Linked DNA regions of Lonchura striata. The protein of the gene in region 1 purifies or fractionates together with the protein of each later gene. This does not show direct contact. Links are inferred from orthologs where the notes say so. Each region holds a gene or a part of one and is shown on either strand. Other genes may lie near its edges.

What was found.
Region 2: the proteins of WDR24 (region 1) and NPRL2 purify together in Homo sapiens (affinity purification with western blotting; 3 studies listed by BioGRID and IntAct, with this or other methods). This does not show direct contact. The link is inferred for Lonchura striata from reciprocal best matches to the Homo sapiens genes WDR24 and NPRL2.
Region 3: the proteins of WDR24 (region 1) and CASTOR1 purify together in Homo sapiens (affinity purification with mass spectrometry; 3 studies listed by BioGRID and IntAct, counting the BioPlex papers as one, with this or other methods). This does not show direct contact. The link is inferred for Lonchura striata from reciprocal best matches to the Homo sapiens genes WDR24 and CASTOR1.

Annotation. Positions count from the first base shown.
Region 1 is NC_134618.1:3,113,176-3,120,737, forward strand, and holds the start of WDR24 (GATOR2 complex protein WDR24), read left to right. Parts: upstream 1-4,562; 5' UTR 4,563-4,660; intron 4,661-5,195; 5' UTR 5,196-5,627; coding exon 5,628-6,108; intron 6,109-6,447; coding exon 6,448-6,625; intron 6,626-7,392; coding exon 7,393-7,562. Other genes in the region: FBXL16 (F-box/LRR-repeat protein 16), read left to right, coding at 390-453, 1,193-1,341. UniProt on the Homo sapiens protein: Catalytic component of the GATOR2 complex, a multiprotein complex that acts as an activator of the amino acid-sensing branch of the mTORC1 signaling pathway. The GATOR2 complex indirectly activates mTORC1 through the inhibition of the GATOR1 subcomplex.
Region 2 is NC_134614.1:8,469,837-8,477,359, forward strand, and holds the start of NPRL2 (GATOR1 complex protein NPRL2), read left to right. Parts: upstream 1-4,523; 5' UTR 4,524-4,552; coding exon 4,553-4,624; intron 4,625-4,787; coding exon 4,788-4,879; intron 4,880-5,266; coding exon 5,267-5,435; intron 5,436-5,662; coding exon 5,663-5,771; intron 5,772-6,052; coding exon 6,053-6,189; intron 6,190-6,450; coding exon 6,451-6,548; intron 6,549-6,632; coding exon 6,633-6,669; intron 6,670-6,807; coding exon 6,808-6,901; intron 6,902-6,975; coding exon 6,976-7,093; intron 7,094-7,277; coding exon 7,278-7,523. Other genes in the region: TMEM115 (transmembrane protein 115), read left to right, coding at 1-217, 924-1,128; transmembrane reductase CYB561D2, read right to left, coding at 3,171-3,674, 4,052-4,089, 4,181-4,307. UniProt on the Homo sapiens protein: Catalytic component of the GATOR1 complex, a multiprotein complex that functions as an inhibitor of the amino acid-sensing branch of the mTORC1 pathway.
Region 3 is NC_134620.1:2,664,571-2,672,323, forward strand, and holds the start of CASTOR1 (cytosolic arginine sensor for mTORC1 subunit 1), read left to right. Parts: upstream 1-4,753; 5' UTR 4,754-4,822; coding exon 4,823-5,025; intron 5,026-5,149; coding exon 5,150-5,220; intron 5,221-7,407; coding exon 7,408-7,601; intron 7,602-7,683; coding exon 7,684-7,753. Other genes in the region: TBC1D10A (TBC1 domain family member 10A), read left to right, coding at 169-283, 496-561, 1,568-1,757, 2,034-2,188, 2,357-2,749. UniProt on the Homo sapiens protein: Functions as an intracellular arginine sensor within the amino acid-sensing branch of the TORC1 signaling pathway. As a homodimer or a heterodimer with CASTOR2, binds and inhibits the GATOR subcomplex GATOR2 and thereby mTORC1.

The sequences.
Region 1 (7,562 bases):
AGCAGAGAGCTCCTGTGAGCTCAGCAGGACTCAGCCCTGGCACCCTGACCCTGCATCCTTGCCCCAGCACCAGAATCCCCAGACCCGGTACCTGCTGCAGGCTCCCTGCCCTGGCTCCCCTCCCTGTCGCACAGCCCAGACCCAGCACCCAGCCCTGCACCCAAAATCCTGCCCCAGCATCCTGCTGCAACATCCCACATCCTGCTGAGGCTGCCCTCCCCAGCGCCCAGCTCCCTGCAGCCTGTCCCATCACAGGGCCAGCCTCAGCACCCCGCTTCAGGTTCCTGGCCCTGCCACCTGTTCCCTCCCCCAGCTTGGCAATGCTGAGCCCTGGTGCCGTGCTTGTCCCCGCTGTCCCCTGCTCATCCCCATCCCATCTTCTTTTCCAGGTGCAGGATTTTGGCCTGAAGCACCTCCTGGGCATGGGCAGCCTGCGCCTCCTCTCGCTGGCTGGTGAGACCCTGACCCTCTGCCGGGGACCAGAGACACCACAGGGCTGGGGAGGCACGGGGCATGGGGACAGACAGAGCCCTGGGGACAGCCTGGGGACAGCCAGCAGGCACCTGCACCCAGCCCAGCCTGTGGGGAGAGACGCGGGGCTGGGCTCTTGGGCTGCACTGTTTTTTGGGGTGGTGGTGTTTCGGAAGCTATGCTTTTGCAATTCAAGTTTTCTGGGGTGTTGGGTTTTGAGGAGCTAGGGGACACTGCTTTTTGGGATGCTTTAGTTTTATTTTTTTTAATACTGGTCCTTTGAGATGTTGGGTTTTTAGGCTGACCTTGGGGTGCAGGTGTTTCGGAGCACTATTCTTTAGCATGCTGGTTTTCTGGGTTGTAGTGGGTGCTAATTTTGATGGTCTTGGTATTTTGGGGTGCCGGTGCTTTAAGGTACTGGTTTTTGTGTGCATTTTTGTGTGTATTTTTGAGTGCTGCATTCTTTGGTTGCTGATCTTTTGAGTGATTTTTTTTGTACTGTTAGGGTTTTTGGGATACATTTTTTTAGCACGCTATTTTTTTGGGGGTCCTGTGTGCTGAGTTTTGAGGTGCTGGGATTTTGAGGTCCTGATCCTTTGGTCCTGTTTGGGGGGATTTTGGCGTTTTGGGATGTCGGTGCCTTTGAGATGCTATTTTTTGGATGCTGTTTTTTGGGGGCCACTGGTGTTCTGCGCTGACAGTGCGCCCTGTCCCCTTGCAGGCTGCCCCTTGCTGACCACCACGGGGCTGTCGGGGCTGGTGCAGCTGCAGGAGCTGGAGGAGCTGGAACTCACCAACTGCCCCGGGGCCACCCCGGAGCTCTTCAAGTACTTCTCCCAGCACCTCCCGTGCTGCATGGTGATCGAGTAGCGCCGGACCCGGCCCACCCCGGCCGCCATCGCCCACCCCATCTCCCTCTGGCTGCTGGGGGATTCGAGAGACGCCCCCGATTCCAACCGAGCCCGGACATCCCCCGCATCGACGCCCCCGAGGGGCGCGGGGCTCCGGGGGAAGATGGGGGCAGGCGTCGCCCCCGGCCGGAGCCCCCCGGCTGCCATGTAAATTCCCCCCCGCCGCCGCCGCCATCGCCCGCGCTCGTCCCGGTGTCCTGCCAATCCCTTCGGACAGACGAACGGACATCACGGAAGCCCAGAGTGGGAAGGCGACGCTGTGTGACCCCCCCACCCCGGCCGCATCCTGCTCCCCCCGCCCCGGTGCCGAGCGGGCACACGGCCCCGCCGCCAAGGATGCTCTGGGCACCGAGGATGCTCCCAGGGATGGGCCAGAGGAGGATGCTTATTTTTGGGTGGCGGCGGAGGCTGGATGGGTCCCCTCACGCCCCTGGAGCGGGTCACCGAGCTCACCCCCCCACCTCCCCGTGCTGCGTGTCCCCTCCAGCCCCCAGCCCCGCCTCTGGGGCGCTTTCTCCCGGTGAATAGGATGCCCCTCTCCGCCCGCCCGCCGCCCTCGCATGCTCGCTTGCTTCAGTCTCGTGCTACGGCAGGTTTCGGGGTACCCGGGGGGACGGTGACAAGTGACAGCCCCACTGAGCCCCTCCACGCGGCTTCGTCCCGGCCGGATCCTGCCCCGGGAGCCGGGCTCCCCTGGCGAGCATCCCCCGCCGCCCTGGGGACCCCACTGCACCCCGCGGGGCTCTGGGGGTGATGCCACCGCCGAGGAGCGACCCATCCGTCTGGGATGGGACATCCCGGGGGACCAGGGCCGGGTCTGAGCCACCGCGGCAGCGCAGAGAGACCACAGGAGGTGGCACCTAGGACCCACTGCCACCGCCACCGCTCTTCCAGCTGAAAAGCCATCGCCTCGATACCGGCGGAAAGCGGGGCACCGGGGGGACCCCTGGGCCGCGCCGAGACGGGACCGAGCCGGCGCGGGGCTGGGGTGCCCACGGGGACCCGGCGCGGGAGGGGCTCGGTGGCCCCCCGCGGCATTGCCCGCTGCCACGGCAGCCGGGGGAGGAGCGTGGGCATGGATATGGACACGGACACGGGCACGGACACGGGATGGGCACGGACACGGACACGGACACGCTTTCGGTTTGTTTTGCCTTTGTACCGGCCGGGAAGGAACTGCTGCACCAACTGCCGCCTCCGCTCCCTGCTTTGTCCGAAACGCCCCTTTCTGACCCCAAAATGGCGCAAAGTGGCCCTGGAAGGGGTTTTGGGGGTCCCCGGGGCTACGGGACAAGGTGGCACTGCTGGGGCCTGGAGCACCCTGGCACGGGGGTGGAGGGCTGCCTGCACCCCCAAACCCTGCAGTGTCCCTGGGCGCCGGGGCCAGGCAGGACAGCGGCACACAGAGGGTCCCCCCACCCCTGCAGGTGACAGCAGCAGTTTTGGGGTGCCATAGCCCTGCACAAGCCCCTGGTCCCGGTTATACTGACGGCACCCATACCCTCCCCTGCACCCCCCATGGCAGTGGCCCCCATACCCCCTGCACCCCTACTCCCCTGTGCACCCCTATATCCCTCCAGTGCATCTGTACACCACCAATGCACCCCACATCCTCTCGACACCCCCATTTCCCCCCCTGCAGCCTGACCCACAAGGCTCCCACAGATCCCTGACCCCCAGTTATCCCCTTGCTTCCCCAACCTCCATGCACCCACATCCTAATGCCCTGGATCCCCACATCTCCCTGGCACCCTCTCCAATGTGCCCCGAGCCCCCCAGTGCACCCACACACCCCTGTGCACCCCTGAAACACCCCAGCTCACCCTACACCCTCAATGCACCTCATATCCCCTCGGCACCCCCATTTCCCACCCTGATCCATAATGCACCCCACATCCCCCTAAACCCCATTTTCTCCTGCGCTCCCAGTCCCTCTGGGGTGCCTCTCTGCCATCCCCGTTCCCCCCGGATCCCTCATCTCCCGGACATTCCCACCCCTGGTAACACCCCGGAACCCCCTGGTACTCTCTCCTCCTGCCCCCCCCCCAGTCCCCAGTACAGCTCCTACCCCTCCCACTCCATCCCAGCGAACCCCCACTCCCAGTGACCCCCTCGGGGTCCCCCTGCACCCCGGCCCCCGCACTGCCCCGATCCCCGGGCTCGGTGCCCGCCCCGTCCCCCCGATCCCCGTTCTCCGTGCCCGCCCTGCCCCCCGATCCCCGGGCTCCGTGCCCCCCTGTCCCCCCGATCCCCGGGCTCGGTGCCCCCCTGTCCCCCCGATCCCCGGGCTCCTGCCCGCCCTGCCCCCCGATCCCCGGGCTCCGTGCCCCCCTGTCCCCCCGATCCCCGGGCTCGGTGCCCCCCTGTCCCCCCGATCCCCGGGCTCCGTGCCCCCCTGTCCCCCCGATCCCCGGGCTCGGTGCCCCCCTGTCCCCCCGATCCCCGGGCTCCGTGCCCCCCTGTCCCCCCGATCCCCGGGCTCGGTGCCCCCCTGCCCCCCGATCCCCGGGCTCGGTGCCCCCCTGCCCCCCGATCCCCGGGCTCGGTGCCCGCCCTGTTCCCCGATCCCCGGGCTCGGTGCCCGCCCTGTTCCCCGATCCCCGGGCTCCGTGCCCCCCTGCCCCCCGATCCCCGTTCTCCGTGCCCCCCTGCCCCCCCGATCCCCGGGCTCCGTGCCCCCCTGCCCCCCGATCCCCGTTCTCCGTGCCCCCCTGCCCCCCGATCCCCGGGATCCGTGCCCCCCTGCCCCCCGATCCCCGGGCTCCGTGCCCCCCCGTCCCCCCGATCCCCGGGCTCGGTGCCCCCCTGTCCCCCGAACCCCGGGCTCGGTGCCTCCCTGTCCCCCCGATCCCCGGGCTCCGTGCCCCCCTGTCCCCCGATCCCCGGTGTGGGGCGCGCGGGGGGCGGGGCCTCGCCTCTGGGCGGGGCCTCGCCTCTGGGCGGGGCCTCTCGGGCGGCACCGGGGGCGGGGCCTGATGGGCTCCGGTGCCGGAGGGGGCGTGGCCTGAGCCGGCGGGCGGGAGCAGGCGCGGTCGTGTCCCAGAGGGGCGGGGCTGAACGGCGAGAGCGACGGAGGGGGCGTGGTCAGGAGCAGGGGGCGGGCCCGGGCGGCGGGGGCCGGGGCGGGCTCCGCACCGGGAAAGGGGCGGGGCCTGGCGGCGGGGCGGGTCTATCGGCGGAAACGGGCGGGGCCTGGCGGGAGGGCGGCGGCGGCGGCGGGGCCTGCTCGGCCCGAGCGGCCGGCGGGGAACCGGCACCGGGTACGGCCTCAGCACCGGGTACGGCTCTGGGAGCGGCCCCGGGGCCGCGCACGGAGGGGGCAGCGGCAGGGGACTCTGTGTGGCGGGAGGGGGTTGTGAGGAGGCGCCGGCGGCTCTGAGGGGCGGGAAGGGGCCCTGAGGAGGATATAGGGCGGGAGAGGCTCTGAGGGAACCCTGAGTGGGCTCTGAAGGGCTGGAGGCGGCCCTGGAGGGGCTCTGGGTCAGGAGCGGGCCCTGCAGAGCGGGAGGTGAGGGGTCTGAGGGGTCCTGGGGGGCTGTGGGTCAGGAGAGCCCTGAGGGGTGGGAGTGTGGGATATGAGGGGCTGGGCTGGCTCAGGAGTAGGACGGGACCCTCAGGGTGCGCTCAAGGTGGGAAGGGGCCCTGAGGGGGTGGGAATGTGCGGTGTCTGTGGGACCTGGCAAGGGAGGGCAGTGCTGTGGCAGGAGCTCGGCCTGGCTCTGGAGGGCACAGCCCGTGATCCCTCCAGAAGCCTGGAGTAACCGCTGCCCCCAACTCTGCTAGGGAAGGACGGTCATCCCTTGGTTCTTGCAGGCTCTGGAGCTCCGAGTGCCCCACGGAGGTGACCGTGGCCTCACTTCACCCCACCTCGTGCTGTGGACGCTGCTCACTTCAGCCACAGTGCTGTACTTGACTTATATTGTCAGCAACAGTGAAACATCTCAGGGTGTGGCCAAGGAGGGAAGAAGGAACCCAGAGAAGGTTTTCAGGAACTCTCCGAGAGGGAGCCACAGAGGGTGGCAGGAGGAGAACCCAGAGTGGGGCCGTATCTCCCTCCCACAGGCAGCTCTGTGGCCTCTCACCTCCACACCCCATTGATGCAGCTGCACAAAGCCACGGTCGGAGCCACCAGGGCCCGGCAGGAGCCCAGCCTGTCCCTGCCCAGCTCTGGCTGAGCTGGAGCAGGCTGGCCGTGTGGGTGTGCAGGCAGCCTGCTGGAGAGGGGACAGCACCCCGAGGACAGCCATGGAGAAGATGGCCAGGGTCACCACTGCCCTGGGGGGCAACGCGCTGACCGGCCGCACCATGTTCTGCCACCTGGACGCCCCTGCCAACGCCATCAGCGTGTGCCGGGACGCCGCCCAGGTGGTGGTGGCCGGCCGCAACATCTTCAAGATCTACTCCATCGAGGAGGAACAGTTTGTGGAGAAGCTGAACCTCCGCGTGGGCCGCAAACCCTCCCTGAACTTCAGCTGTGCCGACGTGGTGTGGCACCAGATGGACGAGAACCTGCTGGCCACCGCCGCCACCAACGGCGTGGTGGTCACCTGGAACCTGGGCAAGCCGTCCCGCAACAAGCAGGACCAGCTGTTCACGGAGCACAAGCGCACTGTCAACAAGGTGTGCTTCCACCCCACCGAGGTGTACATGCTGCTCAGCGGCTCCCAGGACGGCTACATGAAGTGCTTCGACCTGCGCAAGAAGGACTCTGTCAGCACCTTCTCTGGTACTAACGTGGCTCTTGTCCTGTTTCCCTGTGGGGAAGCACATTTTGGGAGCTTTGTCCTTTCATTGCTTGTCCCTTCACCCTTAGGAGAGGCAGGGGTGAGGGGCTTTGTCCTTCCCTGTGCCCAGGAGGAGGGTTTGCTCAGGGGCTGATGCCCAGGGCAGGGAAAGAAGGAGCTGAGAGGCATTTTGGTGCCTTTCCTTGCCTCTCAGTGCTAGCTGGGTCTGTGTGTGAGATGGAAGACAGTCACAGCACTCCCTGCTACCTTCTCTCTGTGCCACAGCTCTTCCAGTGGGATTTTTAGCATTGCTGGAGCTCCTAACTTGTGTCCCCTCCCAGGGCAGTCAGAGAGTGTGCGTGATGTCCAGTTCAGCATCCGGGACTATTTCACCTTTGCCGCCACCTTCGAGAACGGCAACGTGCAGCTGTGGGACATCCGCCGGCCCGACCGCTACGAGAGGATGTTCACAGCCCACAACGGGCCCGTCTTCTGCTGCGACTGGCACCCAGAGGACAGGTGAGAGTGGGGCCGGGCCCTGCCAGCCACCCAAACTTGCAGGACAAGAGAGACCCTAAAAACAGGATTGGGATTTTGTGGGGGAAAGCATGGTCTGTGATACCCTGTCCCCTTGTGTCAGGAGCTGGGATGTTGCTGGGAGATAGGAGTGATTGTTACTTGGAGCATTTGGGGTGGTGTAAGGGTGTTTGAGGTTTGGTTTTTGATAAATAAGGGGATTTTGTGGCACTGGGTGTCTTATGGTTGTGTAGAGCAGTGTCACAGTGGCCTCTCGCTCCAGTGTTCAGGTTGAGGAAGGCACAACTTGGCTGCTCTGGGACACAGCTCGCTTGTGTTCAGTCATGTTTCCCTCCACCCTTTCCTGGGAGTTTGCTGAGAAGGATCTAAAAGGAGCTGTTACAGTGTGCATGTCCCTCCTCACTCCCTGCCAGGCAGTGCTGCCACTGCTCGTGATCTTGGAGAGCACTGAAATATGTTCAGGATGGGCGTTTTCCTCTCTGCTGTGCCTGGCCAGTGGAAAGCAGAGCCAGAGGCAACTGGTCTGACTGGGATGTGGCTCTAGAGGTGCAGGGCTGTAACTGGGAGCGGGCAGGAGAGTGCTGCCTGGCCTGGTTGCTGCAGAGCAGAGGTGCCAGGGGAGCTCACGGGAGGATGGCATTGCAGCCCAGCCACCCTCCTGCGGCGTGCATGTGCTCACACCTGTGCTGTGAGCATTTCTGTGCCACGGTGGGGACAGAGAGGTGAACACTGATCCGTCCCTGTCCCAGGGGCTGGCTGGCCACAGGTGGCCGCGACAAGATGGTGAAGGTGTGGGACATGAACACGACGCGGGCCAAGGAGATCTACTGTGTGCAGACCATCGCCTCGGTGGCGCGGGTGAAGTGGCGCCCCGAGTGCAAGCACCACATCGCCACCTGCTCCATGATGGTGGACCACA
Region 2 (7,523 bases), on another chromosome or scaffold:
GTAGAGGCCGCGGAGACATGAGCGACCACTTTGCCTTCGCCACTTTCTTCCCCGAGATCCTGCAGCCCGTGGTGGGTCTGGTGGCCAACCTGGTGCACAGCGTGCTGGTCAAGGTGCGCTTGTGCCGCAAGACCGTCAAGCGCTACGACGTGGGTGCCCCGTCCTCCATCACCATCAGCCTGCCAGGAACAGACCCCCAGGACGCCGAGAGGAGAAGGTACCCCCTGCCCTGCCCTGCCTGGCCTTCCCTGCCCATAGGGATCGTGTCTGGGGACAGAAAGGGTATGGTTTAAAATCCAGCCAAGGAAGAGGGGGGAGATTTAGGTGCAGGGGCTGAGGAGGAGCCTTCTCCATGTGGTCTGCCATGGAGGTGGTGAGGAGCATTTCAGGGAGCTGGTGGGACATTATCCCGCTCTTCCAGATGTGGAGGAGCAATAGTAAGGCAGGGGAGATCCTGGGAAAGGGGCAGACAAGGTTGGGGTCCCTGCAGAAGAAAGGGGTGCAGCCTAGGGGTGGCAGCCTTCCACCAGTTCACCCTGGCCCAGGACAGGGCAGTGAGTCAGCCCCACACCCCAGCCCTCCAGCACAGCCAGCACTGGCCTTCCTGACTTCTGGCAGAAGGGTTTGGACAGGGTGCTGGCACTCCCTTTTCCCTGCTCTGCTTTATGCCTTTATTCCCCATTCCCGGAGCTGCTCTCGTGCTGACAGCCTCTGGCTGTACCACGTAGCATGAAAACTCTTTGTGAATAGTCTGGGAGCCAGAGTGGATTTCTGTGGAGCAGTCCCAGGCTCTCCAGGTTTTCCCCAGCACTACTGACCCCACCCTTTCCTGCTGGGAAGAAGCCGGGGACTGAGTTGCACAGTGCCCCATGGGGCAGCGCCAGTGACCCAGGGTTAACCTGCCCACGTGCCTTGTCCTGCAGGCAGCTGGCCCTGAAGGCTTTGAACGAGCGGCTGAAGCGAGTGGAGGACCAATCAGCCTGGCCCAGCATGGAGGATGATGAGGAGGAGGCGGCAGCAGCAGCGAAGGCTGACAGCCCTCTGCTGCCTGACCCCAGCACGGCCGGGAAGAGCCCTGGCCAGGAGTCCAACCTCATCAGCTTCCAGGACGCCCCGGCTCAGCTGTGACCGGCCCCTTCCCGCCCTGTCTCCGCTGGAGAGCTGCTAATCCCGCTGGGAGCGGGGACTCCTCCCGGGCACAGCCAGGGGGATACCTCATTGCAACGCTTCGCTGCTGCTCGCGGCCAGCACCAGGCGCCCGGACAGTGACACTGCCACCACCCTGAGGACAGGAATTCCTGGAGCCACTCCCCCAGCCGAGGCAGGCCGTGCAGACAGCAGGAGCTGTTCTGGGACAGGGACACGGGGCTGATCCCTGCCCCAAGCCGCTGTGCTGGCCCTCGAGGGATCGAAGTCAGCTTCTCCTCTGTGCCAGGGCTTTGCCAGAGCACTCAACACTTACTTTCTCCTTTCTGAAGGTAGTTTTGGCCCTAACTGAGGCAATAGGAAGGCTGGTGGGTTTCTCTTACAAATGTCTTTCCCTTGGGGAGCCTCTCCCCGCCCCAGCAGGAGCTCACCAGGCCGGGTGAGAAGTTTGTTGGGTAGGAGGGGGCAGGACACTGGGCAGGAAGAGGCCACCAGCCCCTCATGGTGGTGCTCCAGCACTGCCAGCTCCAGGCTTTGCATGGTGAGGATTCTCTCCTCCTTCCTCTCCTGCCCCCTCCCCCTGTGGGGAGCTGCTGCCCTTGGCTGCTCCCTGGCTAATCTGTTTGCCAGATTACACTAGAAGCTGGAATTAATTTTACAGTGGGACTCAAGCTGCTTCCTCTGGCAGCAGGTTTTCTTTCCTGCAGGTAGAATATGGGCTCCCCCTTTCTTTTCCCTCCCTCTTTGTTAGTGGAGTTTTTTTCCTGGATGGAGAGGATGCTCCCTGCGACAGCCTCCACAGCTCCTGATCCAGTGGGCAACTCCCAGCCTGGGATGTGGATCAGCAGTGTCATGATTATTTTTTTAAAGGACCACACGAGAAGGTTTTGTCAAATGGGAAGAACACAGACATTTGGGTATTAATAAAGAGTTCTTTGAAAGCACTGGCTCCTGCAGCAGAGCATGGGCAGGGTGGGGGACCTGGCCCAGAGCAGCCCCTGGGGGCTCTTGACAGGAGGCTGGGGAGGGGGCTTCTTCCCAGGTGCTCACAGCAGGGAGAGATGTCTGCCTGCACCCCAGAAGTCATCTCACCCAAAAAGGACAGAGGGCTTGTTGCACTCTAGCTGCCTGAAATGTTTATTGAATAAAAGCTCTGGATACAGAGGAATTTTTCAGCCTGGGAGCCGCTCCCAGCTCTCCAGCCCTGCCAGGAGCAGGATGCGTGTTGGAAGGAAGGCTGTTGTGCCAGCATGGAGTTTTCTTCCTGCCTTGCCAAGGGTTCATCACCCAGGTCCGTGCCTCCCCGTGCTCACGCTGTTCCCTGTGACTTGCTGGCTGCATGTTCCAGCCCGGCTCAGTAATTTGCTCTGTAAACTGACCCCACCCCACGAGGCCGAGCCCAGCCCACGGAGGAGGGGTTTGTGCGTGGCAGTGGGTGTCCAGACCCAGGGCCTTGGGGCAGAGCTGCACGCTTTGATCCCAGGGACTGCCCGTGCCATGGGGACACACATGCTGCTGTACCGTACGCGGGTGCCACCGCCCTGCCCCAGCCCTGCCAGGGCTGAAGCCACAACCGTGCCCTGTGCTTTCCTGTCAAGCTGCCCCCGTGGCAGGAGAGGCAGCATGGTGCCTGCTGCAGCCTCCCGGGAGAGAAGGGACCCCCTGCCCTCCTCACCAGGATGGCTCCTGTCCTGCCTGCTCCAAAGCAGCCCTGCGTGGGAAGGGAAAAGGAGCAGAGATCCTGAGTGAGCCCTCCATTTCCCAGCACTGAGCACCGAGCTGCCACAGGGACCAGCAGCTTCACCTGTGCCAGGTAACGTCCCCACCGAGGCAGGGCTGAGGTGTCACACACATCTGGAGCGGCTGCTCCCCAGGGACAGGACACTACGGACAATCCAGGACTAACGAAAGACAAGTAGGTAGAAACCAAGTTTCAAAGAGGCCCTGTGCAAGCAGGGGGACTGCCAGCTCTCTCCAAGGGGAGACCCAGCTTGCTCTGGGAAGTTCAGGTCAGCACCAAGCCCTCAGTGCTGGCTCCGCTTGCGGTACAAGTATGCGTTGCTCACCTGGTTCATGATAACCAGGCTGGTGACGAGGGGACACAGCATGGCCAGGTACCACGAGGCACCAGTCACCGTGGTGGTGAACCAGAGGGAGCACATGCCCAGCATCAGGCTGGCACAGCCCAGCAGGTAGCCCACCAGCCCTGAGGTTGCATGGTACAGCTTCAGCTTGGCCAGCGTCCAGTTCTTCATCAGCTTGGGGTAGAGCAGGAGCACGCCCCCGGCGCACTGCCCGCCGGTGTACAGCACGGCCAGCAGCCCCGTCAGCCCGTGCCAGGTGACAAAGTGGCCCTTGCCGTTCAGGTGCTTGTTGTAGCTGATGATTCCCAGCCCCAGGAGCGCGCAGAGCAGAGCGAGCAGCTGCAGGGCCCAGTGCGCCCGCACTCGGACTTTGCGGGAGAAGGAGCGCAGCAGCGAGGTCTCCGGGGAGAAGATCAGCAGCGCTTCCGTCATCAGGAACGAGAACTGGGGGCAGAGGGCAGCGGCATTGGCACCGGCCGAACGCCCCTGCGCCGCGGCTGCCGGGCTCGGCTCCCACCGCCCGGGGCTCAGCCTCCCGTCACCCGGGGCTCGGCTCCCACCGCCCGGGGCTCAGCCTCGCATCACCCGGGGCTCAGCCTCGCATCACCCGGGGCTCGGCTCCCACCGCCCGGGGCTCGGCTCCCACCGCCCGGGGCTCAGCCTCCCCTCACCCGGGGGCGCCCGGGGCTCGGCTCCCACCGCCCGGGGCTCAGCCTCCCCTCACCCGGGGGCTCCCGGGGCTCGGCTCCCACCGCCCGGGGCTCAGCACGGCCCTGCCTGCCCCACGGCAGCAGGGCGGTGCCCGGGGCAGCGGCACTTACCGCGAGCGCCATGAGCAGCGGGTGCCAGGAGAAGAGACCTGGAAGGGAAGCGCAGCGTGAGGTGAGGTGAGGCGAGCTGAGACATCCGGCCCTCCCCGCGCCCCGGGCCCCGGCCCCAGCGGCACTCACTGGATCCGGGCCGCGCCAGCACGGCCACGGCGGCGGGGAAGCCGAGCGCCACGAGGTGCGCGGCGGCGCCGGAGGCCACGCGCAGCGAGCGGTACAGGCGGGACTCGCTCTCGGCCGTCAGGGCCATGTTGGCCGGGCGGGCGGGACCGCCGCTGCCGACATGGCCGGGCCGCGGCGCGGGCTGCGATTGGCTGAGCCGGGCTGTCCGTCAGCGCCGAGGCCCGCCCCGCCGCGCCGCGCCGCCGCTGAGTGGCGGGCAGTGCTGTCGCTCAAGGCGAGAGCCCGCCCCGCCGCGCGCCCTGTGGCTCCGCGGGGGCGGCGCTACGGTGGCCGGCGGGGCTGCGGGCGGGTTCGGCCGCTCCGCGTCCCGCCATGGGCGGCCGCATCGAGTGCGTGTTCTTCAGCGAGTTCCACCCCACGCTGGGGCCCAAAATCACCTACCAGGTGCGGGGCGAGGGCCCGGGGCCCGCAGTGCCTGCCCGCGGCAGGGGACTGAGACGGGGCCGCGGCAGCGGCCGTGGAGGGGAAGGGGGCGCAGGGACTGGGGCGGCGGGCGCGCCCCGGGGCGGACGGGCTCGGCTGGAACGGGAGCTCTGTGCCGCCGCAGGTCCCCGAGGACTTCATCTCCCGGGAGCTGTTTGACACCATCCAGGTGTACGTCATCACGAAGCCCGAGCTGCAGAACAAGCTGATCACCGTGTGAGTGCGGGCGAGCCCCGGCCGGGCTCCCGGCCCCGGGCCCAGCCGGTCACTGCGGTGACCCCGGTACCCGTGCGGAGGGTGGGGGTCTCATCTAGGGGTGGCTGGTGCTGCAGCTGCTGCGCCGCCAGCCTTGAATCCAGGAAATCAGAGCAGTCAGGAGAGCTGTGCTGCTTTCGAAAGGACACTGCTTCCTTTTCTGAGGGCTGGCTCTTTCCTCCCCCCTCTCCCTTCAGACTGGGATTTGCACTCTGAGCATGTAGGGCTTAGGCATCACTTTTCCTGCAATATAAAGAAGCCCTGACCTGCAGAGCCGACCGGGAGCCAGCCTCGTGGGGGACTCAAGGCTTCCTGAGGGCACAGAGCAGGTGACAGGTGTCTCCACAGGACAGCCATGGAGAAGAAGCTGATCGGCTGCCCCGTGTGCATCGAGCACAAGAAGTACAGCCGGAACGCTCTGCTCTTCAACCTGGGCTTCGTGTGCGACGCCAGGGCCAAGGCCTGCGCGCTGGAGCCCATCGTGAAGAAGCTGGCTGGCTATCTCACCACCCTGGAGGTACAGGCTGCCTCTGATCCACCCCACAGAGCGTGGGCGCCTCAGCAGCATCCTGGAGCATGGTGGGGGCCGCTGGGCACTGCTGGGACAGGGGCTGGTTTTACAGCGAGGAGGGGATTGTGCTGGTTTCCTGCAGATCACTTCAGTCTTAAAGGGGTACAGGATCTGGGCTCCTGTAGCCAGCAATCCTGTGGGGAACAGCTGACTTGACTTTCTGCTCTCTTCAGCTGGAAAGTGGATTCATCTCCAACGAGGAGAGTAAGCAGAAGCTGGTTCCCATCATGACCATCCTGCTGGAGGAGCTGAATGCCAAAGGGAAGTGCACCCTGCCCATAGGTACGGTGAGGACAGGGCTATGCTGGGAGACAGCTGGGCCATTCCCTGCCCAGGTCAGCTCTGCCTGTGCTGCTCCCAGCAGCTCCCTACCTGTCTCCTTGGAGCTGGAGGTGTCCGACCCAGCCTTGCCCTACCTGGCTCCAAGGGAGGGGTGGGATGGGGTTATGGGCTGCAAGGACCTTGTTCTGTGTGACATTGTGGTGTCCTGGCATTGATGGTTGCAAGCTCCTGAGAGAGCTCTGTTTTGCACGGAGATTGAGCCTTCCCCTTCTCCCGGACAGATGAGTCGAACACCATCCACCTGAAGGTGATTGAGCAGCGTCCAGACCCCCCCATTGTGCAGGAGTACGATGTCCCTGTCTTCACCCAGGACAAGGATGACTTCTTCAATTCCCAGTGGGATCTCACCACGCAGCAGGTCTGTGTGCTTGACACTTTGAAGGGGATCCATTTCCAGACCATCGGAGGAGTTAGGCTGTCCTGGAGATCCCCACGTTTATGAGCACGGTTTGGTGCTGCCCTTGGCTTTGTGCTTGGGCCTGTGAGCAAATCATTCACCATCACGGGGTTAAAGTGCACCTGGGGACGGAGCCTGCCTATCCCAGCTGCTCCCAGATGCAGGGGAGCTGCTTGGGCTTCAGAGTGATGCCTCACTGCTCTCTGCCTCCTCCCCTCCCAGATCCTGCCCTACATCGATGGCTTTCGGCACGTCCAGAAGATCTCTGCAGAAGCTGACGTGGAGCTGAACTTGGTGCGCATCGCTGTGCAGAACCTGCTGTGAGTGCCTGGAGGGGCTGCATGGCCCGAGGAGGGGTGGGTGCTGCCAGAGAGCGCCTCTCACCTTGTCCTGTCTGTCTGCAGGTACTACGGGGTTGTCACGCTTGTCTCCATACTCCAGGTGGGTCGGGCCAGGGAGCGTGGGGCTGTGAGCAGGATTTGGGCAGTGGCTGGGGAGGGTGAGCAGTGGGGTTGGAGTGGGCCAGGCCTGTCTCTCAGAGCTGCAGCTGAGCCAAGCTGGTTTTCCATCACCCTCTAGTACTCCAATGTCTACTGCACCACACCAAAGGTGCAGGACCTGGTGGATGACAAGTGCCTCCAGGAAGAGTGTCTGTCCTATGTCACCAAACAAGGTACAGTGACCCAGCATGGGGATGCTGGCCCAGGCAGGGGGACAGGGCAGCTGAATGGTGACTTGTCCTCGCAGGGCACAAGCGAGCCAGCCTCAGGGATGTCTTCCAGCTGTACTGCGGGCTGAGCCCTGGCACCACCGTGCGAGACCTCATCTCCCGCTACACCCTGCAGCTCCAGAGGGTGGATGAGAGGTCAGAGCCCTGAGGGCAGTGGTGACACTGGGGATGGCAGAGAGAGCAAGCAGGAAGTACTGTGTCTGTAGGGTAGGAGGTGTGAGGCAGTGGCAGGACGCATGGAACAGAAGGGGAATGTGGGGAGCTGGGGCATTTGGCACCTCAGCATTGTGGTCCCAGTCTCTTTCCTCCTCACCCGCAGGAGGCTTATCCAGTTTGGTTTGATGAAGGGCCTTATCCGGCGGCTCCAGAAATACCCTGTCAAGGTGGCCCGGGACGAGCGGAGCCACCCAGCCCGGCTGTACACGGGCTGCCACAGCTACGACGAGATCTGCTGCAAGACCGGTACGGATCCCTGGGACCCACGGGATCCTCTGCTCCGTGTGGGCCCCAGGGCTGGTGGGAGGCAAAGGAATTGCCTGCCCACAGCTGTGCACTGGTCCTGGGT
Region 3 (7,753 bases), on another chromosome or scaffold:
AGGACCTGCGCTCTGTGGGCCGAGCCCCAGAGCTGTTGGCCCGGCTTTGTGTGGAAAAGGGATCCCAGCCAGGGAGTGACCCAGGCTCGAGCCTGGCGTGCACGGGGAAGGCTGCTGGGCCACGTGCGTGCCGTGTGCCCAGCTGTGCGTGCCCGGGTGTCTCTGCAGGCAGCAGGACCTGTTCCGGGTGCTGAAGGCGTACACGCTGTACCGCCCGGAGGAGGGGTACTGCCAGGCCCAGGCGCCCATCGCCGCCGTCCTGCTCATGCACATGCCGGCCGAGGTACGGGCACGTGGCTCAGGGGACAGCTGGCACCTCCTGGAGCGTTGTGGGGCCCTTTGGGGGGTGCTGATGAGTGGGGTGCCCGGCTCAGGGCAACCCAAAGGGCTCCAGGGGTGCTCTGCTGCTTGCCACCCTCTCCCGTGGTTCCTGGGAGCAGGGAGTGGGCCACAGGGATGTCCTCTGAGTGCTCACCTGCTGTCCTTGGCTTGCAGCAAGCGTTCTGGTGCTTGGTGCAGATCTGTGAGAAGTACCTCCCTGGCTACTACAGCGAGAAACTGGTAAGTAAAGAGCTCATGGTGCTTTCAGCAGTGGCAGGGACCTGCAGGGTGCTGCATCTGGGTTGGGGCAGCCCCTAGCATCAGTCTGGGCTGGGGATGAAGGGATCAGGAGCAGCCTTGGGGAGAAGGACACAGGAGTGCTGGTTGGTGAGGGTTGACCACACCCTGGCCATGTGTCCTGGGCTGAACCCCCAGTGTGGGCAGCAGGGGAGGGAGGATTCTGCCTCTCTGCCCTGCCCAGGTGAGGCCCCACCTGCAGAGCTGCCCCAGCCCTGGGGCCCAGAACAGGAAAGACCTGGAGCTGCTGGAGAGAGTTCCAGAGGAATCCATGGAGCTGCTCTGAGGGCTGGAGGTCCTCTGCTCTGGAGCCAGGCTGGGAGAGCTGGGGGTGCTCACCTGGAGAGGAGAAGGCTCCAGGGAGAGCTCAGAGCCCTTGCAGGGCCTAAAGGGGCTCCAGGAGAGCTGGAGAGGGACTGGGGACAAGGGATGGAGGGACAGGACACAGGGAATGGCTTCCTACTGCCAGAGGGCAGGGATGGATGGGAATAAATTCCTCCCTGGGAGGGTGGGCAGGCCCTGGCACAGGGTGCCCAGAGCAGCTGTGGCCACCCTATCCCTGGAAGAGTTCCAGGCCAGGTTAAACAGGGCTTGGAGCAACCTGGGATAGTGGAAGCTACCACAGGGCATTTGGATGGAATGAGATGAGTTTTAAGGTCCCTTCCAACCCAAACCATTCCACAATTCTGAATCTCCAGGCCAAAGACTTGTCCAGCTCCTCACCCTGGGGAAAGAAGGGGTCTGAGGAGGGGCTGGGTATTCCCACAGTCTCCCTGTTGTGATGTGGCTCCCAGAAGCATTCAGGGATGGGGGTCTCAGTGTAGCATCCGTGGGACACAGCTCTGCTCACATCAGGTGTAGAGGGTTGGCTGCCCTTGCTGGGACCTGGCCCTGGGGGCTGATCCCAGGGCTGGGGTATTCACTGGGATGCTGGTCCCTGTCCCTGCAGGAGGCCATCCAGCTGGACGGACAGATCCTCTTCTCACTGCTGCACAAGGTCTCCCCTGTGGCCTACAAGCACCTGAGCAAGCAGAAGATCGACCCCATCCTGTACATGACGGAGTGGTTCATGTGCGCCTTCTCCCGCACGCTGCCCTGGAGCTCCGTCCTGCGCGTCTGGGACATGTTCTTCTGTGAAGGTAGGAGCTCCCCACCATCCTCCTCCTCCTCACGGGGTGACTGCACTCCCCACGGCCATGGGACCTGTAGCAGGGCAGGTTTGGGGCAGCCACAGCCACCAGTGGAAGTGGGCAGTTTTCCTGGGGGTTAGGAGGCATGTGCATTCCAAATTCACCCTCTTGCATGTCCTGACCGTTAGTGGGACTGGGATGTGCTGTCCCACAGCATTTGAGGGACACGGTGGCAGTGTCACCCTGTCCTACCTGGTACTCACTGCGTCTCGTCTCCTCTTGCAGGAGTGAAGATCATCTTCCGGGTGGGCCTGGTGCTACTCAAACACACCCTGGGCTCCTCGGACAAGCTCAAATCCTGCCAGGGCCAGTATGAGACCATGGAGAGGCTGAGGGCCCTCAGCCCCAAAATCATGCAGGAGGCCTTCCTGGTGCAGGAGGTGAGGTGCTGGGGACGGCCTGGGGGCCCAGTGCTGCCAGACTGGGCTGTCCCTGGGTGGGCGGAGCATGGGAAGCAGCCCCCAAAAAGCTTCCTTAGCAGTGCCCTGAGGGGGATCCCACACCCAGCCCCGGTGGCACTGTCGCTGATGGAGCAAGTGTCCCCACAGGTCATCGAGCTGCCGGTGACGGAGCGTCAGATCGAGCGGGAGCACCTGATCCAGCTGAAGAAGTGGCGGGAGACGCACGGAGAGCTGCAGTGCAAGTCCCCCCCGCGCCTGCACGGCGCCAAGGCCATCAGCGAGGCGGAGCCCGCGCCGCGCAAGGCTCTGGAGCCCGTCCCCTCCATCATCGTTTCCCCCGGGCCGGCCCCCGTGCCCAAGGCCCGCAAGAGCAAGGAGAAGAGCCGGGAAAAGGGCCCGGCCAGTCCTGCCAACGGCCCCGGGGCCGAGGGCAACGGGGCGCCCGGCACGACCCGGGAGCTGCTGCACCCGCAGGTCTCCCCCCACCACCAGTCCAAGGAGAGCCTGAGCTCCCGGGAGAGCGAGGACACGTACTTGTAGGGCCCGGCCCACACCCCGGGCAGCCGGGCTCAGCGGGGCTGCGCACGGACCCGGGCGCGAGGACACCCAGGGGGACCCCTGGCACCCGGCGCTGGGGGCTCTGAGCTGGAGGGATGGGACAGGGGGGCTGTGCGGCTCCGGGAGAACAGCGTGGCCCTCTCGGGGCATCCGTGGAGCTTGGCCAGGTGTGGTGACCAAAGGGGACACCGTGGGTCTGCGCTGGGTGCCCACCCCGCAGGGTGCTGGCACCACGAGCGGTGGGAGCCCGGGCAGGGGGTGGCTGAGCCACCCGAGCTCCCTCCCCACGCTGGGGGGCTGGGCTGCCCCTTGGGCCCCTCTCCCCGTCCCAGAGCCCCTCGACCCATCACCCCCCGGGTCCCTCCTGTAGCCCCCACCCTGCGCCAGCCGGGCAGCCCCAGCCCCAGTTCCTGAGCACTTAGGCCTGGCGCAGGGCACTGGGGGTACACGAGGAGCCCTGGGACCCCTCGCCCCCCTCTTATCTAGTGAGGATATATCAAGCTGTAGCCCTATATGTAGTACCCAACTTACCTACTCACTGAGCCTATTTATTATTCCTCTGAGGCAGGACAGGGACCGAGGCAGGATGTGCTAGAGGCGGCGGGATTTGTTGCCGAGTTTTGGGGCTGAAGGCCCCCCATCCCATCCCCTCCCATCCCCAAGTTCCCCACAGCTCAGGGGGAGTGTTTACCCTGCCAGGGCTCACCCCACCACTGCCACCCCCCCCCAGGCCCCAGCGCAGGTGAGACGGGGTGGGTGAGCAGCAGCCAGGTGCCCCCTGGTTGTGGGGTCCCCTCTGCCCCCCCCGCCCTCCCCGAGGGTGGGTGGTGGGTTTGTAAAATAAAGCGGGAAAAGCAGTTTTGTACAAAGGGGTCAATAAAGCGAGTGTGTAAAGGCGCAGCCCCGGCTCCCACCTCTCTTGGCCTGGGATGGGGCTGGAGGGTGGCAGGAGGCAAGGGTGTCACCTCCCCTTTGCTGCACCAGTACCAGCTTTGGGGGTACCCTGACCTGGACCCTGCCCATGGTTCTCTATCCCTGGGGGCACCCTCCCCTGCATCCCATTCGCACTGGACACTGACCCTGGCATGCACCCTTCCCTGGGTCCCTTCTCTCCTGGCTGCCCTTGTCCTGGGGGCAGGTGCTGGGCAGTGACCTGGGAAGGGCCACGCTGCTGTCACTGCTCTGTCACCGCAGAAGATGGCCCAGCCCTGCTGTCTCACCAGCCTTGTGGCTGCCCCTTTGAAGTGGAATGGGAGGAGACTGAGACCTGCCCCAGCTTGTGAGAGTGGTGGCTGCCAGGCTCTGGTGCACTCCCACCCCAGCACCCAGGCCTTTCCCCTTTTCCCACTGTCACAGCTCCTGTGGCTGAACAGAGCCAGGGGACCCCAAACTAATCCCATGACACCCCAGAGCTCAGCTTCCCATCCCAAAATAGTGCCCAGGCCATCTCTCTCTTTCTTCCTGCAGGCAAGAATTCTGCCCAAACCTCCATTCCTCCCTCCACAAACCCCTTTTTCCCAGGGTGGACCTGGTTTGGTGAATCCCCTCTCCAGACCTGGCGTTGGGGCTGAGCATGTGGGACCCGGTTGGGTGCTGTGGCTGGGGGTAGAGTGGGGTTGGCAGTGGCTCCCAGAGGGTCTCCCTTGGTTGGGCATGCCGGGCTGTTGAATTGAAGGTGGTTTGGGCCCCCAGGGCTGCATTTCGGGGGTACTCTGGGACTCTGAGTTGGAGCTGCTCCAGGCATCCTGGGGCGCTGAATTTGGGCTGGTTTGGGCACCACGGAGTTCTGCACTGGGGCTGGTTCCGAGGCTCCGGTGGGGCTATCCCGGGTGTCCAGTGCGGGCATCCCGGTGGCCCGGGTCGTTGCCTTTCTGGCGGTGCGGGGCGGTGCGGGGCGGTGCCGGGTCGCGTCCCGAAGCGATGGGGGCGGTCCTGGCGCCAGGCGGGCGGTCACAGGGCGGTCCCAGAGAGAAGCGGAGCGTTCCCGGATGGGTCCCCGGGCGGTGAGGGCGGTCACAGGGCGTTGCCGAACCGAGGCGGGGCGGTTCCGGGGCGATGCGGGGCGGTCCCGGGCCGGTCCCGGGGCGGTCCCGTGTCCGCCCTTATAGTGGCGGCGGCGGCGCTTCCCGGGGCGGCGCGGCCGCCATGGACCTGCACATCCTGGAGCACCGGGTGCGGGTGCTGAGCCTGGCCCGCCGCGGGCTCTGGCTCTACACCCACCCGCTGCTCAAGCTGCTCTTCCTGCCCCAGCGCTGCCGGTACCGGCTGTCCTCCCCCCGCCACCACCCTCCTCCTCCTCTTCCTGCTCTTCTTTCCCCGACTCCCGGCCCCGGGAGACGGCGGCGGTTTTGAGGTCAGCAGCACCGATTTCTTCTGCTTCAGATGCAAGTTCTTCAGCCTGACGGAGACCCCCGAGGACTACACGGTCATGCTGGACGAGGAGGGCTTCAAAGGTACCGAGTGGTGGGTCCCTGGCAGGGCGGGCTGGCACCGCCGGCGCGGGCTGTGCGCGTCCCCAGCCCGGCTCTGCGCCTGGGCCGCGGGGAGCGAGTCCCGGCTTGTGCTTGGCTCCCTCGGAGCGTGCCCGTCCTGCCCCAGGCGCCTGTGCCGGGGATGTGCCGGCTTGCCCGGCCGGGGCTCTCCCGGCGTGGCTGCCCTGCTCCGCCAGCCCCTCCCGGGCAGCGCTGCCACCGGGCTGCGGTGCCGGCCCGGAGCCCGGGCGCTCCGGCAGGGCGCAGGCTCCTCCCGGGATGCCCGCGGGCGGCGCTCCCGGCTCTGGCAGCCTGTCATCGTTCCCGTGTCCAGTTTCATCCCGCCCCTGCTCCCGGTGAGGGCCAGCTGCAGCTTTGGCAGAGCAGGGCAAAGCACAGGCGCGGCCAGGCTGGCAGGGGTGAGTCCTGTCCGGCAGCAGGGTCCAGCTTTTGGGGTGAGGTTGGATCCCTTCCAAGCCAGTCCCTCTCCCGGGGAGGTGCCACTTGGTGACGTCCCCACATGGCCCGGCACGTGCGGTGTGTCACCCTCACCGCCAGCCCTGCCGGGCCACCGGCCCGACGGGCTGAGCCAGAGGGTCCGGATCCCGCCCGCCTTCCCACGCCCAAACCTTCCTGCCGGGGCCGCCGCGGGTCCTTGGCCGTGACCCAGGGACAAGGTCAGCGCTCCGGCCACGGGCACTCGCGGCCAGGTGCCAGGCTCACCTCCGTGTGCTGTGGAGCGGGACCGTGTCCCGGGCTCTCCCCGCTCCCAGAGCCAGAGCCGTTCCCCACGTATTGTTGTATTTTGGGGCATGCAGACAAATATTCCTCAATCCCGAGGGGAGGGCGGGAAGTGCTGAACAATGGTCCTGCAAGCCTGCGGCCCCGCAGTGCCCCGTGAACCCCCCTTGGCTGCGGGCTGCCAGTGTCCCCCTGCTGCCGGGCTGGAAGGGGACCCCCAGCACAGGAGAGCTGCACCCCCTCTTCCCTTGGGATCAGGATTAAGCCCTGGGGTGGGTGACATAGGGACAGCGAGGCCCCCTTGCATTCAGCCTCGCCCAGGGTGGTGTTGAAAAGCGATTAAACACTGAGCTCTGGGACAGGTCCCCATGTCCCTGAGTCCCTGTCCCGCCCCGCTGTTCCCAGCACTGGGCCCTGGGCTGGAGCCGAGGCTGTTCTGGCGCTTCCTGCGCAGGAACAGGCGCTGGGAACAGCCGCCAAGGCTCCGGATCCGGCCCCGCTCCCGCCCTGCCCCGGCCCAGTTTGGGAGCGGAGTACAGAGCCTGTCCCCGGATGGGGGCCCCTCAGTGAGGGCTGGACCCTCCCCCGTGCAGCCTCCCCTCCACCACTGGCGTGGTGAGTCTGGGGTCTCAGCTGGGCTTGGGCACTGGCTGCCCACCCAAGGGCTGGGGGCTTGTGTGGTCTCCCATGGGAGCTGCTCCCACCTTTCCTGGATAGGAGGAGTGGACTGGAGACTCCTTGGGGCCCTGGCCCGTCCCTTGATGGGAAGGGGAGCCCAGAGAAGAGGGAGCAGCCTGACTGAGCCCTGGGTGCCCCAGCAGTGCCAGCCCCTCTCCTGGGCAGGAGGGTGGGAGGCAGGAGCAGCTGGTCTATGCCCACCCTGCCAACACCAGCAGATTTTTGGGAAGCAGCTGTGGCCCTCTGGCAGCCTGGGCTCTCTCCACCAGGCTGACACTAGGTGCTGGGACTCCCAGGACAGCAGGATGACCCTCTCCTTGTCCCCTCCAATGTCCTGTGTGCATCCCTGAACATCCCTGGTGGTGGGCGCTGGGCTGGAGGCTCCTGGGGGGCAGAGGATGAGCTGGGCAGCCCCACGGCCCTGGTGATGCTGGTTTGGGGGTGAAATGCCAACATCCCCATACACCCAGCCTGCGGTGCTGGCACAGGGAGGAGAGACACATCTTGGGGTTTGGGGGCCTGTAGCTTTGGCCCCCCTCGTCCCTACGGCCAAATCCCAGTGTGGAGCAGCTGAGCCCTGTCTGGTTCTTTCCACTGAGGATGGGGCTCAACTGCACCCCCAAACCAGTGTCCCCACACCTGGGGCTGATCCTGCCTTGGGGATCACCCATGGGACAGCGTGGCACGCAGTGCCTGAGCTGGCACTGGCTCTGTGTCGGGCTGTGCCTCAGTGTCCCCGGTCCCTCGCAGAGCTGCCGCCCTCGGAGTTCCTGCAGGTGGCAGATTCCACGTGGCTGGCGCTCAGCGTGGTCTCCAACGGGCGGGAGCCCCCCGGCTGCCAGGCCACCGGCGTCACCAAGATCGCGCGGTCGGTCATCGCGCCGCTGGCCGAGCACCACGTCTCGGTGCTGATGCTCTCCACGTACCAGACCGACTTCATCCTGGTGGGTGACGGGCACGGTGGCCCTGGCTGGCTGTCCAGGGGGAGGGGTGGCAGTGCAGCCCTGACCCCGCGCCCCGGGGCAGGTGCGGGAGCGGGACCTGCCCGTGGTGATCCACACGCTGGCCGGGGAGTTCGACATCTACAAGGAGGAGA